Ovis aries: one gene and its partner. The protein of the gene in region 1 purifies or fractionates together with the protein of each later gene. This does not show direct contact. Links are inferred from orthologs where the notes say so. Each region holds a gene or a part of one and is shown on either strand. Other genes may lie near its edges.

Region 1 (4,300 bases):
TCCTATCTCAGTGTGTCTTCATGCAAGATTCCAGTTTCTAGGACAGTATGGGTAACCTGGGGCTTCCCTAGTGTTTTCCCTCTGCGACCTGGGAGGCGAGGTTCTGTGCTTGCAGCTCAGGATAATACTGGCGGCAGAGGTAGTTCTCCAAAGGAAAGGACGTCGAGCAGATTTTGAAAAACAGAAAAAAAAAAAAAAAGTCCAGTCTGGATTCCTGAGGAAGTATGGAATGACTACCATGCAAAACCTAAAAATTCCCTTATTGAAATTAATTCTTCAGATTAGACATCTAGTTAAATTCAGTTCAGTCGCTCAGTCGTGTCTGATTTTTTGACACCCCATGGACTGCAGCCGGGCCTCCCTGTCCATCACCAACTCCTGGAGCTCACTCAGAATCATGTCCATTGAGTCTGTGATGCCATCCAACCATCTCATCCTCTGTCGTTCCCTTCTCCTCCCGCCTTCCATCTTTCCCAGCACCAGGGTCTTTTCAAATGAGTTAGTTTTTGCATCAGGTGGCCAAAGTATTGGAGTTTCAGCTTCAGCATCAGTCATTCCAATTAACATTCAGGACTGATTTCCTTTAGGATGAACTGGTTGGCTCTCCTTACTGTCCAAAAGACTCTCAAGAGTCTTCAATACCACAGCTCAAAAGCATCAATTCTTCGGCGTTCAGCCTTCTTTATAAGTCCAACTCTCATATCCATACATGATTACTGGAAAACCATAGCTCTGACTAGAGGGACCTTTGTTGGCAAAGTAATGTCTCTGTTTTTAACATGCTGTCTGAAAGTGAAAGTGAAATCGCTCAGTTGTGTCCGACTCTTTGCGACCCCATGGACTGTAGCCTACTAGGCTCCTCCGTCCATAGGATTTTCCAGGCAAGAGTACTGGAATGGGTTGCCATTTTCGTCTCCAGGGGACCTTCCCGACCCAGGGATCGAACTCGGGTCTCCCGCATTGTAGGCAGACGTTTTTTACCGTCTGAGCCACCAGCGAAGCCCAATATGCTATGTTGGTCATAAATAAGTACCGATTTAATTAAACCTCTCGAATCGATTAGTTCATCCCAATGAACTAACATTTTCGTTTTCAGTGACCTGACGTTTTTGAGCGTCCTACAACCTCTATCTTCTTAGATAATATTTATTAGATTGGACCCATTACTTTTGCGGTGAAACTGAGATCAACCATTCCTTGTGGAAGACTGGCAGAAAATGCTGGAAGAAATATAAGAAAACGATGACACCGCAAGTCCTGCAAACTAGCCGAGGGACCCCAAGCTGCAGCGGTCCCTTTCTTGAATTGACGGTCTAGGTGCCCTGATAACGGGCTACTAGGGTCAGCGAAATCGATTGAGCTACGGGTCCCTAAGGGCCAAGTAGGCCGAACTGCATACTGGAAAACGTAGTTCCGCGAGCGAAGGGACGGAATGGCGAGCCGCGCACACGCGCACAAGGAGCTCAGGGCAACAAAGACGGCGACGTGCGCGCACGCGCCGGAGAAAGAGTCGGGAGGGCTGCGCTTGCGCTCCAGGCCGCCGCTCTGAGCTACCGAGCGGCCAAGAGGACAGAGAGAGGGAGGGGCAGGAGCCCCCGACCGCAGGAGGAGAAGGGGTTGTGCTCCTGCACGGGCGAGGAGAAAGGGGCGGGGCCGGCGAGCAGCGCGCGGAGGTGCACAGCTCCAGGGACCGGGGGCGCGCGGAGGTCTGTGGCCCTTGCCGTCCCAGTGGCCGCCGCCGTCGCTTGGCCGCCGTCGGTCTGCGGGAGGCGGGTTATGGCGGCGGCGGCAGTGGGAGCTGTGAATGAATTCTCCGGGTGGACGAGGGAAGAAGAAAGGCTCCGGCGGCCCCAGCAGCCCGGTGCCTCCCAGGCCTCCGCCCCCCTGCCTGGCCCGCTCCCGTCCCGCCCCCAAGCCGGCCCCTCCGCCCCAATCGCCGCATAAGCGGAACCTGTACTACTTCTCCTACCCGCTGTTCGTAGGCTTCGCGCTGCTGCGCCTGGTCGCCTTCCACCTGGGGCTCCTCTTCGTGTGGCTCTGCCAGCGCTTCTCCCGCGCCCTCATGGCCGCCAAGAGGAGCTCCGGGGCCGCGCCGGCCTCGGCGTCGCCCCCGGCACCGGTGCCAGGCGGGGAGGCCGAGCGCGTCCGAGCGTTCCACAAACAGGCCTTCGAGTACATCTCCGTCGCCCTGCGCATCGATGAGGACGAGAAAGGTAAATGGGGAGCTGGGGGGAGGGGGCGGCGGCGCCGGGAAGAAAGCGGTGCGGTCGCCGAGGGAGGGCAACACCTGCGTCCCTTTGCTGACGGAGCCAGCGGGCACCCCCGAAACTGATCTGCCCTGCGAGACCGCTTCCTCGGGGTTAGACCCTCATCCTTTATGAGTCTCAGCTGAAAAAGCTCTCCCCTTTCAGGAGCGCTAGCCGCTGACTTTGTTTCGGATACTAGCCGACACCTACATTTCTGTATGACCCGAGTCCCTGTGAGACTCCTAGGCGTGCTTGCTGACAGTGACAGTTGTCCTAGAGTGACCACACACATCCTTTCGAGCGCTGTGAACAGTGAGTGGCTTGCTCTGAGCCAGGTTTCCAAAAGGTTTTGATATCGAAGAAGCTGTTCCTTGTTACAGGGTTTTAGTGAAAGCAGAGTACTGTAGTGTCAGAAAAAGAGAACAAATGGTGACTTAATTTTGAAAGGAACAGCTGCATATAGATTACAGCTGAATTTGCACTATTTTTTAAGTTTCATGACAGTTATTTTTATCAGTATAATGACTTCTAAGTATTTTCGATAAAATTCTGTCTTAGTATAAAACTTTTGCCCATGGTTGATTTGATCTCATCTAAATGGATATTCCAAGTATTCCATTCAAAGTTTCTAAATTGAAATATTGAGTGAATAGGGTTAGTTTATACATACTGTTTTACAGTAAAATGTAAAGATTTCTGTTTCTGGATGAAAGCAAGGGTACCACGTTCTTCAGATTTCTTTTAAACTAACTTTTTTTTTTTTTTTTTTAGTCTTTTTATATGCCAGACACTATTTTCTTGGCTTTGCATGTGTAATCTGTTTAATCATCACAATTACCCCCTGAGGTGAAGATACTGTTGGGCTTCCTTGATAGCTCAGCTGGTAAAGAATCCGCCTGCAATGTGGGAGACGTGGGTTCGATCCCTGGGTTGGGAAGATCCCCTGGAGGAGGGAAAGGCTACCCACTCCAGTATTCTGGCCTGGAGAATTCCATGGACTGTATAGTCTACAGGGTCGCAGAGAGTCGGACATGACTGAGCGACTTTCACTCACTCGATGAGAAATTTTTATGGAAGATGATAAATGAAATTATAACATTTTGAAAATCCCTCCTGTGATCTCTAACTCCAGTTTGCAGAGATCTTTTCCCTCTAACTACTGATTTGCATTGTTCATTAGTATAAAAAAAAGCAATCTGCAGTTCACTAGTAGTGTCTCCACTACTAACTCCACAAACTGTTCTAGGTTTTCAGTTTGGTTGAAATCTGTTTCCTTTGTGGGGCCTTGGACGGGGAGTAGGATATAAGGAAGGAGGCAGGTATTCATGGGCTTGGAGTAAAAGGACAGAGAGGAGGCTTCAAAAAGTTGAAGAGAGGAGGCACATTTAAGAAAAGAATACTGTGTGGTTTTGGAGGGAAATTTTTTATTAATTACTTTATTTACCACCTTTAAGGAAGATCCAAGATCACCTGAGGAGGATGAAGAAGCATATACTATTATCCCTTTCTAGAGAAGGACTGTTTTATTGTACTATTTTATTATAATAGAGTCCTCTGAAGTTTACTAATCTAGGTCAAAAGTTGAAAAGAGGAATATATTTGAGGGTAGATCATTTGTTGTATTTGAAAAGGGAATGCCAGTACACACAAGGAAATTTTGTTAACACTGGGTGATGGGAGTTGGGTGGTAGCAAGAGACATCAACAAAAACTTAGGCTTAAAAAAAAGGTCCTAGATTCTTAAAATTAAAGAGAAATCAGTTCCATGTGAGGGGTAAGTGATGGAAGTGGAATTCAGACCTTGGATTTCATGCTGGTGATTTATCTTTGGGTATCACATATAGGCCTCTATTTTATTAAAGTCATCTTAAAATATTTACGCACAAATATTTTCAGCAATCTGTGTATCACATATTTCACTCTTTTTCAGCAGATAATGTTTCTATTCAATGGTTTTGCTTTATTTATACTTTAGTTTCTAAAGTGGACATCAGAATAGGCAATGATATCTCTCTAGTTTGAGTTCTACAACTGCTGCATTATATTCCAAAGGAA
Region 2 (3,500 bases), on another chromosome or scaffold:
GTCCTCATAGTTTAATAGTAATTCACTTCCCCATCCACTTATTAGATGATACTAATTTTGAAGTCAGTACATGAGGAGGAAGCAAATAAAACCTTGATTGCATAGCATTCTTAAAGATAGTCTTGAGTCCCTCAGTCTCCAGACTTTGATTAAATCCTACCAGTTTGCTTCTAAAAGTGTTCTAAATGAGCACCTCTTTTTGTTAGTCCTTTGTTGAATAGTACAGTAAATTGAAACTCTCCTCCTCCTCCCTTTCCTCTCATCTATACTTGCTCCTTATCCTTTCATAGTTACTAGCCTTTTCTCCTGTGTGGCAGGCACTGCATTAAATAACTAAATGTTGTGAATTTAACAATGTGGTTAGTATTAGATACAGAAAATAGTAGACTATGTCTGCGGAGAAGGCAATGGCACCCCACTCCAGTACTCTTGCTTGGAACATCCCATGGACGGAGGAGCCTAGAAGGCTGCAGTCCATGGAGTCGCTGAGGGTCAGACACGACTGAGTGACTTCACTTTCACTTTTATGCATTGGAGAAGGAAATGGCAACCCAGTCAGTGTTCTTGCCTGGAGAATCCCAGGGACGGGGGAGCCTGGTGGGCTGCCATCTATGGAGTCACACAGAGTCACACACAACTGAAGTGACTTAGCAGCAGCAGGCTATATCTGCTTTCAAGCATTTACAATCTGGTGGGACAAAAATAATATATACCTGAAATTATAATATACATTGTATAAGATAGGTATAGACAAGGTATTATGGGAGCCCAACAGAAAAGAGTATCCTGATGTTTTGACAGAGGATGGGGAGTGTTATAACTTTTCTTAAAAGTGAATTGGTTAAAAATGAACATACTGGGGGGGCATTGGAATGTTCTTCTAATTCCTCTAATTATAATGGTAGGATCACCACCAGGGCTTTTAAATTTTTTTTTTTTTTGGAATTTTAAAGCATCAAAGTAGCTTGCCTGTAGCCTCCCCAATAGGTTTAAATATATATATATATATATATAAAACTTTTGTCTTTTAACCATTTAGCCTTCAGTTTTGTTAGAGCAGTCTTTAGGGAATGTTCACAACATAAGTAACAATTCACTACATATCCAACACCTCAACATTTCTACAGCTATAGATGGCAGTAGTCATTCTCTTAGTAAGGATATTTGTTAAAGGAATTCACGGGAGTAAGAGGTAATATACTATTGAAAATAAAGTTTAAAAAGTTACACTAATGGTCATTTCTTGGTTCAAAGAAATCATGAAACTTTTTTTAACCACCTATTGTATAATTGGATCCATTTGAAGTCTACTGTGAAACAGGCCATTCATGAAAGACAAACCAGAAATTGTGGAAGGTTAGTAATCTACAGATGATATATTATGAAAGAAAAAAAGGTAGAACAACTTTTAGCTTTGAGAATGTGTCATAAATTAGCATAGCCATTTGTTAACATTTTATCAGATCATGTGGGAGTTTAGGACATATTTAATGTGAATTTGCACTGAGCCAATTTTACAGTATGTTTCAGCTCTCTGAATGTTTACCTTTTCAAACTGTTAATAGACTATTAATCATTACTGTATCTTTAAAACTCCCTAATAATTGTAAATCTAACTCTTGATACATTTAAACATATTTAAACCTGAAAGAATTATTCCCAGATTAAAATTGCTCCTAGTAGTACTTTGTTTTTTTTTCTTCTGGGAAACACGTTCTACATCTGATACAATATCCATGTGATACTGCATAGGTGGAGCTAACCTTAGGATTCAGTCTCCCAAAAAATAAATTCCAGGCCCCAAATTGTGTTTGTGATAACTAGAAATTTATTTCTAAATGCTTTTAAGAAAATGCAAAGGTACTAGAAACTTTGGTATTTGTGTCTTTTATTCTCTCTCCCCATGGCTTCTGGCTGCAAGGCACTGTGAGGTCATGGTAACTCTGTATAAATCAGAAAATTATGGTTGCTAACTAAATCAAGTAAGGCATAATCATAGTCTGAAGTTGACTGTTTTTTCAGTATGGGTGCTGGCTTAGGTCCAGGCTCCAGACCATAATATTATAAAAGGGTAATTCCATGAATCTTCATTTGGATCCCAAGTAATAATAGAGGAATTTTGGGGAAATTGTTCTTCAATACTCTAGCAAATATATTACTTCACATGATGATAGAATGGGCAGAATCTAATGTTATATCATATTTTGAATAAAGTAAATATGGTCTAGAAGCTCTATGTCTATCTGGTGTCATTTAATGCTGCTTCCCTGATCTTTCTGCTGTCTACAGAGCCAGAGCCCAGAGGTGGAGCAGTTAGGGAGGGTTGTGGAACTGGACAGTGACATGGTAGATATCACCCAGGAGCCAGTTTTGGATTCCATGTTAGAAGAGAGCGTGCCTGAGGATCAGGAACCCGTGTCCGCCTCAACACACATTGCATCTTCACTGGGAATTAATCCACATGTGTTACAGGTGAAGTCCTAACCCACCCTTATTATAAGAATCCAAACTAGTATTCATCTTCCTCTCTTAATACCAGGCCTTTTCTTTCATTAGTCCTTTAAGGGCATTGAACAGTCACTGGAATGAGAAAAAAACAGGAATATGGCCCATGTCAGGCATCATTTTGCCATTGGTGGAAGGAAGGCTATATTGAGATTCAGAAGACCTAGAGTCTAGGCCCAGTTTTGTAACTATTACAGTGTGACTTTGGGCAAGTCGTTTAACATCTGTGAGCACTGATTTTTCTCTATAAAATACTAACTTCATTTACAAAGAGGTTTTGAGGCTCTGGAAAGTGCTCCACAGAAGTGTTTTGTTTTGTTTTGTTTTTTAATTATAGTTACAGGTTTCTTTAAACTGTCTCAATTTCTCCTTGCTTATGCCTTTTGTCATTATATGAATTTAGCCTTTGGCTTATATTTGACTTTAAAATTAATTCATTCAGCAAATATGTAAGCTGCTGCTGTGTGCCAGCCTCTGGTGATACTATATACAAAGCACAGAAGTTTTATGTAACTTCTGTCCTTCAGGCACATACAGTATAACAGAGTTAGACACACAAATGTTGTACTAGCTCTGGACATGACCTGAGGCAGAGCTTTTTAATTGGTTGTTGTAAGCTGTGTTTTTCTTTTATGGCCTTTGGATTTGGGGGAGCACATTCATTCTATAGATATTGCTTTTTTAGATCATGAAAGCATCATTGCTTGCTGATGAAGAAGATGTAGATACAGTCTTGGATCAGCGCATCACTCACCTTCCTTCTAAAGCAGATACTTCTCAAGAAATATGTTCTCCCAGGCTCCCCATCTCAGCAACTCACTCATCAAAACCTCGTTCATTAGGTACTGTAAAAGATGCTCTTTTACAAGAAAGCTGTAAAGTCTGGCTTTTCACATTTCTTCTAAGCTGAGTCAACTTCTGTAGCAGACAACTCCAAACTATGATCAGTGGTGCAGACACAAAGTTGTATGGGAAAAAAAAAGCATTTGTGTTTT

The links. The genes of interacting proteins can lie anywhere in the genome.
Region 2: the proteins of SPAST (region 1) and NUP98 purify together in Homo sapiens (affinity purification with mass spectrometry; 3 studies listed by BioGRID and IntAct, counting the BioPlex papers as one, with this or other methods). This does not show direct contact. The link is inferred for Ovis aries from reciprocal best matches to the Homo sapiens genes SPAST and NUP98.

Annotation. Positions count from the first base shown.
Region 1 is NC_056056.1:91,794,448-91,798,747, reverse strand, and holds the start of SPAST (spastin), read left to right. Parts: upstream 1-1,500; 5' UTR 1,501-1,804; coding exon 1,805-2,213; exon of another isoform or gene 2,214-4,300. UniProt on the Homo sapiens protein: ATP-dependent microtubule severing protein that specifically recognizes and cuts microtubules that are polyglutamylated.
Region 2 is NC_056068.1:50,094,621-50,098,120, forward strand, and holds part of NUP98 (nuclear pore complex protein Nup98-Nup96), read left to right. Parts: intron 1-2,289; coding exon 2,290-2,472; intron 2,473-3,190; coding exon 3,191-3,347; intron 3,348-3,500. UniProt on the Homo sapiens protein: Plays a role in the nuclear pore complex (NPC) assembly and/or maintenance. NUP98 and NUP96 are involved in the bidirectional transport across the NPC. May anchor NUP153 and TPR to the NPC.